2 linked regions of the Astyanax mexicanus genome follow. Each later gene encodes a partner of the first gene's protein in a complex. Links are inferred from orthologs where the notes say so. Each region holds a gene or a part of one and is shown on either strand. Other genes may lie near its edges.

Region 1 (8,503 bases):
TGAGGATGAACCACCCCAAGACCCATGCAAACCATTGAGGCAGCATAACGACTATGCCACACAGTCCGCTGTCGGCACAATGTGGGTCAAACTGCATGGAAATTAATTGCTGGTTCATAAAGCAATTTTGCAGTGACAACACCCGCTAACCTTGAATAGATAGATGAAGAGATATCTGCTGAGTGACGGCTCTGCTGGAGCGAAGTCAGTGTTTACTATGATAATTACACCCTACTGGTTAGCAGATTACATGTCATACTTTGATGTGGGTAACTGGAACATTTGGCAAAAACAAAAATGTGTCATTCCTGACAAACAATGCCAAACAGTCTATTTCAAAACACTTTCACATCTAGTAAGAACTTTAGTATTCCAGGTAGGATAATCCATCAAGATAGCATATCTTCTAAAGCGAATACTGTATTTTTGCATGCCGTGTCATACTTAATGAGGTAGTTTCCTGGACAAAGATTAACCCTAGTTGTATACTATATTTTCTTTAAATGGGAAATCTCTATCTCAAAATGCTGTGTAGGCTAAAAATCTCATTAGCATCCTGCCTATCCCCTTCCCTTACCCAAAATGTAAGCGATTGGCTAAGACATGTTTAAGGTCTGAAGCTTGCTTATATTAATTTAACCTAAAAATACTGTAATACTAAATTTACAGTGCTAAAAGTAAGTCTCTGACACTCTAATTCACACTAATTTAGATGACTTCAGTATTTACACTAATAGCTAAAAAAAAAAGACATGTCTTGGCCAATCTATCAAGTTCGGGGTAAGAGAAAAACTGCAAATTTAACTTCTGGCTAAATCTTTTCTTTATGTCAGCAGTGTATGCAGGCTGAACTGTTCAGTAAAGGTGTAATTCACAGTTGTACATCTTTACACTCTCAGCCTCCTAGACTGTTTCTCCAAATATGTGCAGACTTTCCATCCCTGCAGGGTGCATCTTTTCCTCTGATATCACCCATCTGACAGCTCCTGTGCAGCCACACATACGCACGCACACACACACACTCTGTTGTGCCACCCTACTACCATGCAGGAAAGCATACAATGAAATGAAACATGGTGATAGGTGGCAGGGTCAAATTACTACTTACATTACCTGGAACACCAAGCCCAGCTGCACCAGGGAAATGTATTTGTATACAAACAGGGACCAAATATGTGTAGAAAAATTGAGCACATACACAAACACCCAATCTCTCAACAGTTCAATTGTACTTATAGGGAGGCGGTCTCCTCTTTGCTGCTTTAAAAGCTTCTACTCCTCTGGGAGGGCTTTACACTAGATATTTGACCACTGTTGTTATGACTGCACTGAATCACCAGAGTGCTAACTAGTGAGGTAAGGTACACATGGCACCATAGCTCATCCCATAGGTATGGCATGAGGCTCCATCAACCCAGAGAGATGAGAGACATATAACTTGCCCCTCAAGATGTAGTGATTACAAAGACAGTCACAAAGTAAAATACATGTTTTACTGTTTTTAATTTAGTATTTTGAAGGTCTTTTTGTTTAAAAACAAAGTGTACATACCAGTCAGCATATAGCATACACTCTGTCTTGAACTTATTTGACATGTTGGACATCCTGTAGTTACAGTACGCAAGCACACAGTGCAACCGCTGAGCAACTTGTTTAGGAAAATTTTGGAAATGTCTATGCCTACAAACATTATGGAATATATCATATTGATTTATGCAGTTCTGTATAGGATTGTATTGTATTTTGGAATGTATGCTTAAGCCTCTTTTAAGCCACTTTTTTTGTAAATACAGAATCCCTTTAATTTTTAATGTTATGCCTCCATTAAATAAAATAAGAAAGAAGAATTTGGTTTAACATTCTAACTTAAGGTGAAGTGATCAAACAAAGCCACATAGGATGCAATACCAGTAATTTACTTGATGAATATCGTGTTTAAATAACATTTTAACTTTTAAATACCTTTTAAGATAAAATATTTAAATATGTATATGCGCAGCAATATGAAGTTAAATATTTTATTACATACATAGATTTTAATTTACATTTTTGCTTATTTAAACACTGTTTTTTATTTGTTGCCAACATTAGGCAGTCAAGTCTTAAGACATTGGACATTACAATCGTAAAATATCATGGTACTATTACTTTGGTACTTCTACGTAAGGTGTAATTTTTTCAACTTTAACACGGGTAGCCACATGATTTAGGCATTTCGTCCACCTCTGTCTAACCTAGCTGAGACTGGCACTGGTCATGATGACCTTAGCCTCGTGAGTGGCTGCTCCAGAGTGCCTCATTCTACCGGTAATGCTCTTCTATGTTGGACAGTTAGCTAGTTAACCTAGTGCGCACACATTCAGTACACTTTATTATTACTATATATCTCTCTCTCTCAGTGCCCTATTCAGTAACTAGTTAAGTTCACTAGCTGGCTAGCTTTGTTAGGAAGTTTTTTAGCATTATAACGCTTGAAATCATAGCTACATTAGCTAATTAGAGACACATGATCTCCAAATCTATGAGTAAGCACTGAGCTTCAGACAGGAGGTCAAGATGAGCTGTACACTTGGCAATACTTTCTAGGATGGCGGCTATTACACGTTTGTTAAACTAGAAACGTGACATCAGGCATGAAGTTGACCGTTACAGGCCCGAGCTCATAACTCAGCTAACATAGGTTAGCTCACTTAAGTTAAGCTGCCGTACTTGACTTTTTACTCCCAAACTCTCATTAACTCACACAGTTAACGTTAGTGTACTTTGTATTCGGGCACATTACAGCTATTGCCACTCATAAATACAATTTTAACACAATATTTTAATAATCAAAGGTTAACAATAGGCTTTCAGAAAGTATGAGAACTGTAACGCTAGCTAATCTTCCGCGTTTCATATCAACAGGTTTAGGTTTAGCCAGTAAACCGTTAAAGCTGAGAGAACCTAGCGTTAGCTAACTAAAGTTAGCTCAGCATTTCTGCTCTCATGTTCTCCAGCTCTCTCATTCCTCACAGCATCTATTTTGGAATTTATCGTAATTTAGTCGAATAGTTCTGCATTAAACCCATAATATGACAGAATAAAAGTAACTTACACTACTCGCTAAATAAACTGCAGAGAAAACGCGTTGACTGAGGGCGACTCGTCGGAAGGAACTTCCCACCCTTCACAAAGTTTTCACCAAACGTTTCTTTCCACAGACAGTTTCCACTTCGCCTTACCTCCCCGCTTTCCTCGACCTCCGGCCGTCCACCTTCGGACTACAGTCGGTGTAAATATAGTCCCGTTCCCCAGTCAAAGTGGTGTAAGTTCCAGAAATGTTGGTAAAATGTCAGATTCTGGGTTTTTTCCTTGCCTCCGTTTGTCTGGTTGAGGCAGCGTCAAAGCTCCACCCTGCAGCAGCAGCAGCAGCCCGGCTAACGCTATTTTTTCCCACACCCGTATCCGCACAGGCCACGCCCCTCCTCAAAAGTGATTGGTCGTTCAGCGACTAGACTCAGAACTACTCATAGACGTGTACATGAAAAAGTAGTATAAGAAGTACCTTTGTAACGAATATCTTATTTTATAAACGTGACCAATTTACTTGTTTTCTGTGAATCTGTGAAAAGATTTTCTTTATTTTTTTCGTTCTTTCTGTCTTTCTTTATTTATTATTTTCCTTACTGTAAACCAAATATTAACCATGTCTCTTATGGACGTTATTGTTAATTTGTTATTTCTCTAGTGTGAACCAAACATATGGAACATGTAAAAACCTATTTTGTTCTTACCACTAGGTTATTTATACATATGTGTAAGTTAGACAGAACTGCTCCTAACTATTAAGCTTAAGCTTCCTTTAAACTAATAAATAACCCTCCAAAAAGCAACAAATGTCTGATATCTTATGAAACGTATGTATAACTTAATTTTGTTTTTGTCATAATTTATGTATATTTATATTTTCTGTACCTTGAATATCCTCATAATTTATATGTTGTAATTATGTGTGCAGCATTTAATATCTATTACTTATACTGTATAACAATAAAAAGCTAAATAGTTTATTGTTAAAAGTAAACAACAAAAATGATGTGAAAATGTGAAAAGAACATAAGCCTAAACACGCAGATAAAATATATATTATTTATTTAGTGATTTAATTAGTACTCCACTTTAAAAAAAAAAACAAGTATTGCCACAATAACCCAGCAAACACACAAAGTAGTTAAAACGTGGTTTCCTCTAACAATGTTGCTACAACATTGTTTAAAGTTGGCCCTGTTCATTGTCACAACTTTGTTTAATTAGGCAACACTCCCTCTAAGTAATAAGACTACAGTACCTTTTGACTTTCTGACTTTCTTAGATGTCGGTCATGTTACATTATGCATTATCTGGCAACAAAACACATTCTATTTTAGAACATTGTTGATGGCACAACGTTGTGACAAAATAATCAACATAACCAAAACAACCGTGTTTTTTTTTTTTTTTGGTGGGAACAAGCTAAAATAAAGAGGTCACAAGAAGATTAGAACTGCAGTAAGAGAGAATAAAACGTCCTAGTCTGTGCCTCAGCCAATCTTATTATAGGGGGGCGGGGCTTGGCGGAATAGGAGTGGAGTTAAATTATACCACTCTGAGCTATGCAGACAAGCAGAGGGCGTAGATATGGTAGATTTCATAAACCGGATGCCTTTTCACTCAACAACAAAAGCCAGCCAGGAGGGGAATGTTCTGCAGATCTTCACAGATAGAGAAGCAGCGGAACGATACAGTTCACAACTTTCATTTTCTCTCTTTCTTTCTCTTCTATTGTTTCTATTTTTCTGAGAGGGGGCAGCTCATGTCCTCCACAACAAAAAATGCCAGAAATTGAGAAATTTTTGCTATTGCTATGGTGGTCCACTAGAACACTCCACTGCTGATAAATAATGTGGTTTATTTAAATTAAAACATAAAAGTATAGACGAAAAACTTAAGCTCAGCACTGCAGCTCTTCCTTTCGCTTTTACTCTGGAAAACAGGCCCACTATTACAGCTCCATCCTGTGGTCTGATAGTAAAACAGCAGTACAACAAAGTTCTGTAAACAGAAAATAGACTCGGTTGTCAATGGAGGTCTATATAATCAGACAAAACTCATTAAAAGGTTCTTGAGTTATGACTTTCTGACAACACACCAATCATATTTCCAGCCTAATCAAGCACTTTTTAACTTCTTAACAGGCAAATATTTTTTTTAATTTTCTGCCTGATATTATAAGACTAAACCTTGTAATAGCATTACATAAAAAGGTTTCACGTGTAATAATAAACGTTACTGCAAATCTGAATTGTAAGTGTAATAGAAATTATTTTAAAAAAATTACTTTAAAAAACTTTAAAAATATAATGAATAACAATCGTAACATTGGCACTTTCCTTAACTTCATTTTAAAAATCACTATTTTCCAGAATACAAATCAAACATTTCATGTCCTCCAAACTTTTCGTTTCATTACAGTTGTCTAATTTTTGTCTACATTCAAACCTGCAGAATTTGGGGTTAATTTATGTTACTGATCTAAAATGATAAAGTAGAGCAGAGAATGAACAGGTAGCTTCAACAAGTAACCTGTAGGAGTCTCTCTAAAGACCACAAATTTTTCAGAATGTGAATAACCTATTTTACTGCAGAGAATAAGGATTTTGTATCATCTACACTCGTAGCCTGTATACGTTCCAAAGCCTGTAAAGGGGTTAAGTGGCGGGGTTATTCCTTAAATATAATTAAATAGCTTGATTTTTACGAAAATTCTCTTCAAAAGTTCAAGATATGTCTTTAAAAAATGTGTTATTTAAACACATTGTAAAAAGCAGCACTGCAGGCATGGCAAAAACAAAATGCATAAAAAAACTGTTGCATAAAGCTTTACATAATTCTATAATTGTAATGCATCAATTCAGAGTGAATATTAATATATATTTTAAACAGCTGAGTCATTCTGGTCTAATTATGAAAGTAGATTTTTGTCTAAATAAATGTACAAAAATAAATTAAGTTTGTAAAGATTTTGTACACAGATTTATTGTAGTCTTCCTCTTATTACAATAAAGCGCTTTTGGAAATGTTCCAAATCCACATGAAAATATAAATTCTAGGGTTCCCTATCTTAGAAACCTACCACATATGACCATAACCTCATTTTCTGCCAGGCGCTGGCCTACCATTCCCCCAGCAGTGCAAACTCCCAGTTGCCACACCAATCAGCGCCCCCTGGCGGCCAGGTGTTGAACGCCAATTTAAATAGCACAAGCAGAAATCTCCATAACTTTATCCACAGCACGTCCTAAAGCTGCTGCCAGGCCACCAGGCACAATGGAAATCAGCTGGCACAACTTAACCATGTGGATAAGCTACAATACTGATGTTCCTCAAATAATGTAAATGTAAATAACGGGGACAAAAAGGTTATAATTCTGATCTATTGGCTCATTCACAATTCTTTGATGGGAAGGGAAATCTAAATATTAAGATTGATTCATTATGGCACAGCCGAAACAATTCAGTGTTTTATACTTTATTCAATAATTCTCAGCAGGTGGACAAAAAAACAAACAAAAACAAAAAAACACAAGCATTTATTTCTTGTCTTTATTAAATGGCACAATCTTCAAAATTTTATTTAAAACAAAATATGAAAAACAAGCAATAAAAGTGCATTCTGAATCTGGATTGTTTGAAGCTGCTGGTCTATTGGCATAGTTTTCAGCACTGCTACAACACAACTTGCTGATTAGATAGTAACATGAATGAGTAGATGAACAGGTGTTAATAAAGCTCTAAGCAAGTGCAAAGTGTTATGATGCCGTTGGTCTTTTAAAGTAGAAGTGCTTCAGTAGAGCATACTAAAGGAAATCTGCAGAAAAAATTGAAGTTTGCGTGGATTTAAAAAATAAATAAATAGAGCTAAATATCAGCATGAACCGACTCATCAACCGACTCATCAACCGACTCATCAACCGACTCATCAACCGACTCATCAACCGAAATCGGGTTTAACGTTTCTTATTTTCAAATCAGCGACATGGAACAATGCATTGACATCCCGAATTTCCATTTTAATCCTAGTTACTAGCAGTTACTACTGTTTAAAGAGAGATGTTCAGTAGTCTTACTAGTTAACTAGGTTCTATGATTAACTTAAGTTTGTAGTAAAAAATATATATAATAATAATAATAATAATTATTATTAGTTCATTAAAGTTTGACAAATTAAATTATATAAATAAGGGTTAATTAGCTAGCCAATTTAATTTCATACAACTCACGTTAATGTTTGATTGGTAGTTGATACTCTTGGGTAATGCGCATTACTAGCATAGCGTTTACTGGGCTAAAGCTAGTCTACGGCCTGAGGTGTGGAAACTAGTCATTATACACAGTTTGTCACAGTTTGCTGTTAATTAATCTATTCTCACCAGCTGTGTGAGTGACTCGCGGTGTAGTCTATTTACTTTATAAACAGATTCTTAATTATAAGCAGAAAACACCTTACTTACGCCCAAAACCTACTATTAAAACCGTAGCTCCACGTCGGGACAATCAGTTGGTGCCTACTAATTAGCTAGTATTAGCTAAGTTTGCATTGGATTGTTAGCTAGATGTTCATTAGAAGTCTTAACTAAAGAGCTCAGTGGTATATAAACTACCTGCCTGGCGTAACAACTACCCAACCATTTACCTGGTAAGATAACGGTGTTCAACAAGACCTACACCTGAAGAAAACCGAAAGGAATAAACTTAACTGAGAGAGGGGGGGGCTCCGTTTTCATGTCCTCACTACTATAAACTACGGTGGCCGAGAAAGCCCAACGCAGTGCAAATTGAAAAGCGCTGCAAAAGCACAAAACACATCCATCAAAATTACAACACAGGCGCAGCAAATAGAAAAACGCGCTGCAAATAGAAAAACGCGCTGCAAATAGAACCACAACACAACGGAAGTGAGTCACAACACAACGGAATTTTCCCGGGGGACCTTAAAAGATACTGTACGTCTCGGACTTCACTATGTGTACAAAAGACAATAAGTGGCAAACAAGGCGTTTTGTGAAGCAGAACTTTTAATAATATGCACACAACCGTGGCAATCACAGGTAATAAACATAACTTACTTTTCAGAAGCTTGTTTGCCACTTATTGTCCTTTGTATACAGCTGGTACAGCATCTTTTAAGGTCCCCCGGGAAAATTCCGTTGTGTTGTGACTCACATCCGTTGTGTTGTGGTTCTATTTGCAGCGCGTTTTTCTATTTGCAGCGCGTTTTTCTATTTGCTGCGCCTGTGTTGTAATTTTGATGGATGTGTTTTGTGCTTTTGCAGCGCTTTTCAATTTGCACTGCGCTGGGCTTTCTCGGCCACCGTAATAAACAGCGTTCTCACTGATACCATCAAACCGGTGATGCTGCTGGATATCCGTCTTTAAAAGACTCGATTATTTGGTCGCGTCTAGAAACTTTAAAAGTTACTGATCT
Region 2 (8,168 bases), on another chromosome or scaffold:
TGAATAATTACTGATTAATTCATAAACATACAGAATAAATTATACTAGTTACTTAATAAATAATACAGGTTACATAATCCTAGTAGAAGCTGAATAATAAATAAGAGATACTCAAAAGTTCATACTGGTTACAGAAACATTCATACAAGACACTGAATGAATTCTAGTAAAGGTTGAATCATCCATAGGAAATAATGAATAGGTCATACTACTTCTTACTAAAAAATGAATAACTGATACTGAAAATGATTCAAAGTTTTTAAAAGACATTACAAAACATGTTACATTTTCTAATATTGGATGATGTCACTATGATCACAGAGAAAGTGAAGCACACTATTAACCAATAACAGCACAGCTTTACTCATCTTCCTACCCCTCCCACCTATAACACAGAGAAATGACAATCACAATCACAAATACGTCATATCGTGGGAGGGAAATGTGATTTGAATGAACTTTAAGCATCAGTTTTACCGCTTAAGCTGATTGGAGGGTCCTCGTTTGCTCTCTTGGTGAGATAGTGTGGGCAAGAAGGCATCGAGTAAGCATTTCCTGCATTAGGAACGTAGAAAACGCAACATGCAGCTCACAGTGCTGCTTCACTGGTGTAGTAAGACAGACTGGGTGTGGCAACAGCACAGGTGTTATTTGGCCTCGTTTAATTATAGTGCCAGCCAATCATGTGCTGCTGTGCTCAGGTAATTAGGAAACTGTGCTAAAACAATTCCCTTTAATCCGCTGCTGCCCTCAATAATACGCTGTGTGTCAGAACAGAGAGGAGATGTTGCAATCCGATTTCCTTCTGCTTTAGTTCTGTTGAAACTTCATCACAAGACAGCAGTTTATCATTCATCCGGACTGGGCATATCTCACTAAAGCCCAGTCCAGTTTATAAACACACCCAGTCCTGCAGTCCTGACTCACACAGTCCTGCTCACTCTGTCACTCTGTATTATCTATTTCTGTCTGAAATCTGTCCTCAGGTGACCAGTCCCAGCGTGACCTGCGTTATTCACATAAACCAGGCTTTATTAAGGCAGTGATGTATAGTCTGATCCATCCTATATTTAAGTCAAGTCAAGTCAAGTAGTTTTTTTTATTGTCAATACTGCATATGTACAGGACATACAGATAATTGAAATTACGTTACTCTCCTTCCCAAAAATTACAGCAAGAACAGGAAATAGATATATAATATAAAATAATGGGAGACACTATATGTACAATACAACAAGGACACAAATAGACATACATAGACAGAAGACAATAGTGCAATAGTGATGGGGGGGGGGGTGATTAAGATGGGATGACAGTACAAGTATTAACAGAACCCGTATACAACAGTAGCGCAAATATGATATAATATTAGCTTAAGGCTGGTAAAGTGAATGAATGCATAACGTTGCCAATGAGCCAATGAAAAAGTTTATAAGCCAATGAAACAGTAGCTTAGCCCCGCCCACTGCACTGGAAAAAAAATAACAGCACTAGAGCCAGAGAAGCAAATTAAATGAGCTTGATTGTATGTGAATTAGAACACGTTTTTCATGGCTATGTTGGTATTTATGTATGGCCTCCAATCCAACAGACATAAAAAAGCTTACTTATTTTAGTTCATTTGATTTATTCTGTTAATATAGATTTTGTATTAGAAGGTTAGAGTTTTCCTTTGTGTGCATTACAGACAGAAAACAGCATTATTAGGGGCAGTAGTTGTGGTAGATACTAAATAATTAATGGTAGATACTAAATAATTAAAGGTAGATACTTAACCATTCATAGTGGGTACTGAATAATTTAGAGTACATACGTAATAATTCATAGTATATGTTTAATAATTCAGGGTAGACACTGAATAATTAATGCTAGATACTGATTAATGACAGGTAAATACAGAATATTTCATGGTAGATACTAAATAATTCATAGCAGTTACTGAATACTTCATATTGGCTACTGAACAATTTCTAGTAGATATGTCATAATTATTAGTAGATATTGAATAATCTATGGTAGATACTGAATAATTAAACAATAATTGTAGATAATGAATAATTCATAGTAGACACTGAATAGTTCATAGTAGCTACTGAACACATTGTAGTAAATAATAAGTAATATTAGACATTGAATAATCCATAGTAGATGCTGAATAATTCATAGTGGGTTCTAAACAGTTTGTAGTAGATACCTAATAGATCATGGTAGAAACTGAATAATTATTAATAGATACTGAATAAATATTGATATATACTGAATAACTCACAGTGGGTACTAAAAGCTTGTAGTAGATCATTGATTACCATAAGTAGATATTGAATAATTAATGGTACATATTGAATAATTATTGATAGATAATTAATAATTCATAGTGGGTACTAAACAGTTTGTAGTGGATGATTAATATTTCATAGTAAATATTGAATAATTAATGGTAGGTACCAAATCATTCATGGTAGATACTGAATAATTCATAGTAGCTACTAAATAATTTGTGGTAGATTCTGAATAATTGACAGTACATACTGAATAATTAATGGGTTATGAAAAAATCATAGTAAATGCTAAATAAGTCATAATAGGTCCTTAATTATTTTAGTAGTTAGTTAGCTATTAATGGTTTATACCGAACAATCCATAGTAGATATTGAGTAATTATTGTCATATACTGAATAATTAATGGTGGAGACTGAACCATTCTTAATGGATGCTGAATAATTAATAGCAGTTTCTGAACAGTGTATCATATGTACTGAGTAATTAACATTTTTAATGGTTTTATACAATAATAATTACATCACAATCAATAGAGAAATCTAATAAGACGATTAAAAAACAGCTAATACTGACTTCTACAATATATTTTACACCTCTGGGGAAAACAATAGGGTGGACTTTGGTTCAGGTACACTGATAAGAGCACAATATAAGGTTAGTTATTAATCCATTAATCTCGACTTTCTGTGGGTTAATGATTGATCAGCGCTGTATATAGGAGCAGCGTGTCTGAGAGGGGAGAAGTAAAGCTCCTCAGGCTGCAGTTCTGTGATTATCATTACCGTTAGCAGTGTTTCAGAACTGAGAGAAAACACACCCAGCCTACCTTTGGTGTATTTCCTCTGGACTCAGCTGATGAATAACGGGTTCATAAATGAAGGTTTTCCTGTTTTCCTCAGATAGCAGCTTTTCTGCTGGGCTTTCCTCCTGTGGCCACCACCCGACACATGTATCTGGGTGAGCTGAGCTGCATTCGACTCTCTGACATCTAACTGACTTCCTGCTAAACACGGAAGCTCAGGTCCAGACCTGTTCAGTGCATTCCTCAGCCAGCAGCAGTGCTGTAGACCACACCTCTCCACCACACTCCATCACCCACAGCTCACACACTCCCCTAACATCACAGCTGGAGATTATTGTGAAGAAGCTTTAGATTTTAAAGAAACTCCACATAATATATATATAGAGAGAGGTTTTACACAAAGCATAGATCAGGGATTTGGCAAGATATTTTCCAAGCCATTATGTGGAGGGCCACAAAAAAAAAATCTCCAGCCCAGAGGGTTGTTGAACCCAATTGCAGAACAGTTGATCTCAAAGCAGGTAAACCCAAGAAGAAAGGAAAAAAAAAAGAAAAAAGAAATTAACACTCCTCATGCGGGATTGAACCTGTGTCGCCAAGAACATGGTCCAATACACTACCACTGCCCCGGCTAGTGAATTGGGACACGGCCTGGAAAAAAACGCCCTTATAAGGAGATAAGGAGCCCAAGAACAGGTGGAGAAACGAGAACGGACACACCAAGTGCGACAGAGAGAGAGAGATAGGGGAGGATGGAAAATAAAAGCTCTCTAGAGGAGCATTTTATTTATTTCTTTTTTTTCTTTATTGTTAATTATAATTCAAACAACCTCATGGGACTGATGATGCATGCTTGTCGACCCCAGGCAAAGACGTTCCTGTTACTGCACAGGGCTCAGAGTGCCTCAGATTTTTTTTTAAAAGTCTGCACTGTCTGAAAGTAGATACCCATACCACAGTTAGTTCCGACCCTGCAATGTGATTGGCTGATAGGCATTCTATGAGTACTGTTATCAGCCGGTAATGCACTTTAACCAAAGCTCTCCATGTATTACTCTGCCACATGCGATGCAGCGATTACATTCTTTTTATTTTTTTTGCAGTTTGTCCAAACAGGCTAGAGTGGGTTTTAATGGGGCATTTTTTTCCCCTGCAGATAAATCGCTTTTTACACTGTTATACAGACTCAAATAGCTCAAAGTAAATCTCCAGAGAGTGTCATGAGCAGTTACCTTTACCTTAAGATGGCGGCACCCAGAGATTAGGTTACGCTACGGGTTGTAAACAGCTGTTTTTAATAAGCTTCTCGTGCACTTTTGAAGTTACTAATGGCTCTCCAGGTTCTACAAATGCAGGTGGTGTGGAGCTTCTTTGAGTCTGGATAATGGTGCAAAAAGCAATTTATCTGCAGGGGCAAAATATGCCCCATATCATCCTTTCTTAAGCATGTTTGGACAACTGCAAAAAAATACTGGATCTTGGAAAGCTGTGGTAGAGCGGAGGTGGGCTATTTAACAAAGGTTAGTACTCTAAATCAAAAGTCAATTTTACACCGGAGTTCTCCTTTAATAATATAAATTTCCGGTTTGTGCTGTTTTTGAGATGTTTGTGATGCTCCTCAGACAGGATCTTTAATGTATCATCTTTGATGTTCCTCAAAGACCCTCTTAGTTGTATATTATGTTGATGTGGCGCCAAAAAGTGTCTGAATGAAGTTTGAGCCTGATGTAGTCACTGTGGTCTGCAGAAATGGGAGGAGGGAAGAAGAAGAGGGGAAAAGGCAACTGGAAGGGAAACCGACATTTGGTTTCACTCATCCTTGGCTAATGTGTAGATGATTTATTACAGTGTGGAGGAAGTGAGGCACGCGTCACATCTCTGTGGAACTGCCATCTCTGGCTTGGCTTTTGTCTGAAGTTTGCTGAGGCCCAGCCCACACAGAGCCCAGGAAAACACTGGGAATTCCACAGGGCCGTTCTGGGTGTCATCCAGCCTGAAATACTCTCTCCAAGATAAAGCCGTAACTCTGCTGGACGGATAAGACTGTCGGAGTGAGGATGAGCAGACAGCTATAAGAACTGCCCTGACTACAGTGAATAAGACACAGTGTTGCACCACTTATGACCTGGGTTACTCCCTGCGTCATAAGTGTGTCCAAAAGTATCCAGACAAGAATTCTAATGGACAATTAGCAACATTTTGTTGGCCTTGAGCTGCCAAGCATACTATATCTAGAGGTTTATAAGCAATAAACTGTATATACTATAAGAGAAGACTATATATAAAAAACATTTACTTCCATTGTGACATTTTGAAGCCAACCAGATAGGGACTTTTACTCCTCTAGCCCATGCTTGGAATTATCAGGCATAGTTCCAACTTATTTTTTATATTCTGAATCTAATAACACATACAGGGGTTGGACAATGAAACTAAAACACCTGTCATCATTTTAGTGTGGGAGGTTTTATGGCTAAATTGGAGCAGCCTGGTGGCCAATCTTCATTAATTGCACATTGCACCAGTAAGAGCAGAGTGTGAAGGTTCAATTAGCAGGATAAGAGCACAGTTCTGCTCTAAATATTACAATGCACACAACATTATGGGTGACATACCAGACTTCAAAAGAGGACTAATTGTTGGTGCACGTCTTGCTGGAGCATCTGTGACCAAGACAGCAAGTCTTTGTGATGCATCAAGAGCCACGGTATCCAGGGTAATGTCAGCATACCACCAAGAAGGACCAACCACATTCAACAGGATTAACTGTGGATGCTGTAAGAGGAAGCTGTCTGAAAGGGATGTTCGGGTGCTAACCCGGATTGTATCCAAAAAACATAAAACCACGGCTGATCAAATCACGGCAGAATTCAATGTGCACTTCAACTCCACCAGAACTGTCCGTCACCACAATACATTATTGTGCACTAAAACCAGGTGTTTCAGTTTCATCGTCCAACCCCTGTATATTAAACTATTCAAAACAGGTTCTGGTCAATCTCAGGCAACTTTACTTAATTATTTACATGGTTTCTAATCCAAAAGATGGTGACAAAACTCATGTGACATTTAAAAAGCATGTTTAAAGCAAGTCCACTCATTTCTTTGATTTTCTCTCAAGAAAGTCTTTATTTTAAAGAAATAGTTGACTGCTGGCTGCGTGTTAAAATAATTGATATCTATGACAAAAAAAATCACTCTTGTTCATGGCACTCATTCCTGTTACTGGCACTCACTCCTGTTAATGGCACTCATTCCTGTTACTGGCACTCATTCCTGTTACTGGCACTCACTCCTGTTACTGGCACTCATTCCTGTTACTTTTTATGTTTTAAGTAACAGGACTGAAAGTATCAGGAATTCATTTTTAGCATAAAAAACATGAAAAATAGCTTAATGGCAGCAATGCTAATAGCACCAGGAAACTGGGCACATTATAGTGATTTTTAAAATAAACAAACCATGTCTAAGAATTAATTTAGATAACAGAAATAAGTGTTAAGATTGAGCTCCTCAGTCATAGTTAAAATAATATCAAATATACAGAAAAACTAATGAGGGAACTTTGGGAAATTTTGGTCTTCCCATGATCTTCAGAAGAACCAGCTGATGTCACTTCCTGTTGTAGATGTGACTTGTAATGTGTAACAGGACTGAGGGAAACCCATGATCACTAACTAAAATCACTGAACTAAAATGTGGCCTTCACTGTCACAGGATGTATGTGTTGTTAGTGCTTATTTGTCTTTTTAGATCATACTAAATAGATCATACTATCCTTTTAGAAAGACTAGAGAACATGGTCGGTGTAACCGGAACTGCCTTAGCATGGTTTAAATCGTACTTAACCGATCGCTATCAGTTTGTGAGGTTAAATGATATGTCTTCCAGTTTTACCAAGGTAAGATACGGAATTCCACAAGGCTCTATATTAGGACCGTTATTATTTACATTATATATGCTCCCACTGGGCAAAGTTATTAGAAAACATGATGTGAATTTTCATTGTTATGCGGATGACACGCAGCTCTTCATATCAGCCAAACCTGATGACAGAGTGAGATTAAAGAAAATCGAGGATTGTGTAGAAGATGTAAAATCATGGATGTCGCACAACTTCCTCCTATTAAATAGTGATAAAACAGAAGTTCTCCTTTTAGGCCCCAAAGCTGCTAGAAATAAATTATCAGACTTAATGCTAAATCTGGCTGACTTCTCAGCCACCCCTGGTTCAGCAGCTAAAAACCTTGGAGTTATCATAGATTCAGATCTAGCATTCGATAAACACATATCTAATGTTACTAGAACAGCTTTTCTACACCTCCGTAATATTGCCAAGCTAAGAAATGCCCTATCACTGCATGATGCAGAAAAATTAGTACATGCATTTATTACCTCAAGGCTAGATTATTGTAATGCGCTACTGTCTGGATGTTCCGGCAGTAACTTAAATAAACTTCAGCTAGTTCAAAATGCTGCAGCCAGGGTCCTTACTAAAACGAGAAAATTTGACCATATTAGTCCAGTACTATCAGCACTGCACTGGCTTCCAGTCAAATTCCGCATAGACTATAAAATTCTCCTGTTAACGTATAAAGCCCTACACGGACTCGCTCCTGAGTATTTACAAGACCTCATCTCCTGTTATGAACCACCGCGATTACTCAGATCTCAGGGTGCTGGTTTATTAGTAGTTCCTAAAATTCAGAGGAGCTCTGCAGGAGGAAGAGCTTTCTCTTATAAAGCGCCTCAACTCTGGAATAATCTCCCCGAATATGTTCGGGACTCAGACACAGTCTCAATCTTTAAGTCTAGACTGAAAACTTACTTGTTTAGTTTAGCTTTTGGTAATTAATGTTTTTTCCCTTTAGGTAAGGCTGCAGATTCAGGGGTTCATGGACAGAGGAAATTGTGGTAAACTGAGATGCTGGTGCTGCTGTTCTCCCACTGCACACGGTCACTCAGGTTTGTGGACGGTGGAGTGGGTGGACGCCAGTGTTTCAGGGAGCCTTCATGTCTATGTTACCTTCTGGCTCTCTGCCTTTAGTTAGGCTGTTTTATTTAGATCTGCCGGAGTCATTTGCCA

Evidence for each region. Proteins that work in one complex are often made in the same cells at the same time.
Region 2: the proteins of tln1 (region 1) and amyloid beta A4 precursor protein-binding family B member 1-interacting protein are in contact, whole or in part, in a crystal structure (PDB 4W8P), measured with the Mus musculus proteins. The link is inferred for Astyanax mexicanus from reciprocal best matches to the Homo sapiens genes TLN1 and APBB1IP. Residues at the interface, in NP_035732.2 of Mus musculus: Leu1492, Ala1495, Thr1496, Val1498, Ala1499, Thr1502, Ser1503, Cys1506, Asn1507, Arg1510, Val1526, Ala1529, Lys1530, Ala1533, Asn1534, Thr1536, Ala1537, Val1540, Ile1543, Lys1544, Asp1547; in NP_062329.2 of Mus musculus: Asn5, Ile8, Asp9, Met11, Phe12, Thr14, Leu15, Glu18, Met19, Leu21, Leu22, Ser25.

What each region holds. Positions count from the first base shown.
Region 1 is NC_064427.1:27,067,802-27,076,304, forward strand, and holds the start of tln1 (talin-1), read right to left. Parts: upstream 3,417-8,503; 5' UTR 3,222-3,416; intron 3,192-3,221; exon of another isoform or gene 3,095-3,191; intron 1-3,094. UniProt on the Homo sapiens protein: High molecular weight cytoskeletal protein concentrated at regions of cell-matrix and cell-cell contacts. Involved in connections of major cytoskeletal structures to the plasma membrane.
Region 2 is NC_064413.1:51,205,080-51,213,247, forward strand, and holds the start of amyloid beta A4 precursor protein-binding family B member 1-interacting protein, read right to left. Parts: upstream 3,286-8,168; 5' UTR 3,107-3,285; intron 1-3,106. UniProt on the Homo sapiens protein: Appears to function in the signal transduction from Ras activation to actin cytoskeletal remodeling. Suppresses insulin-induced promoter activities through AP1 and SRE. Mediates Rap1-induced adhesion.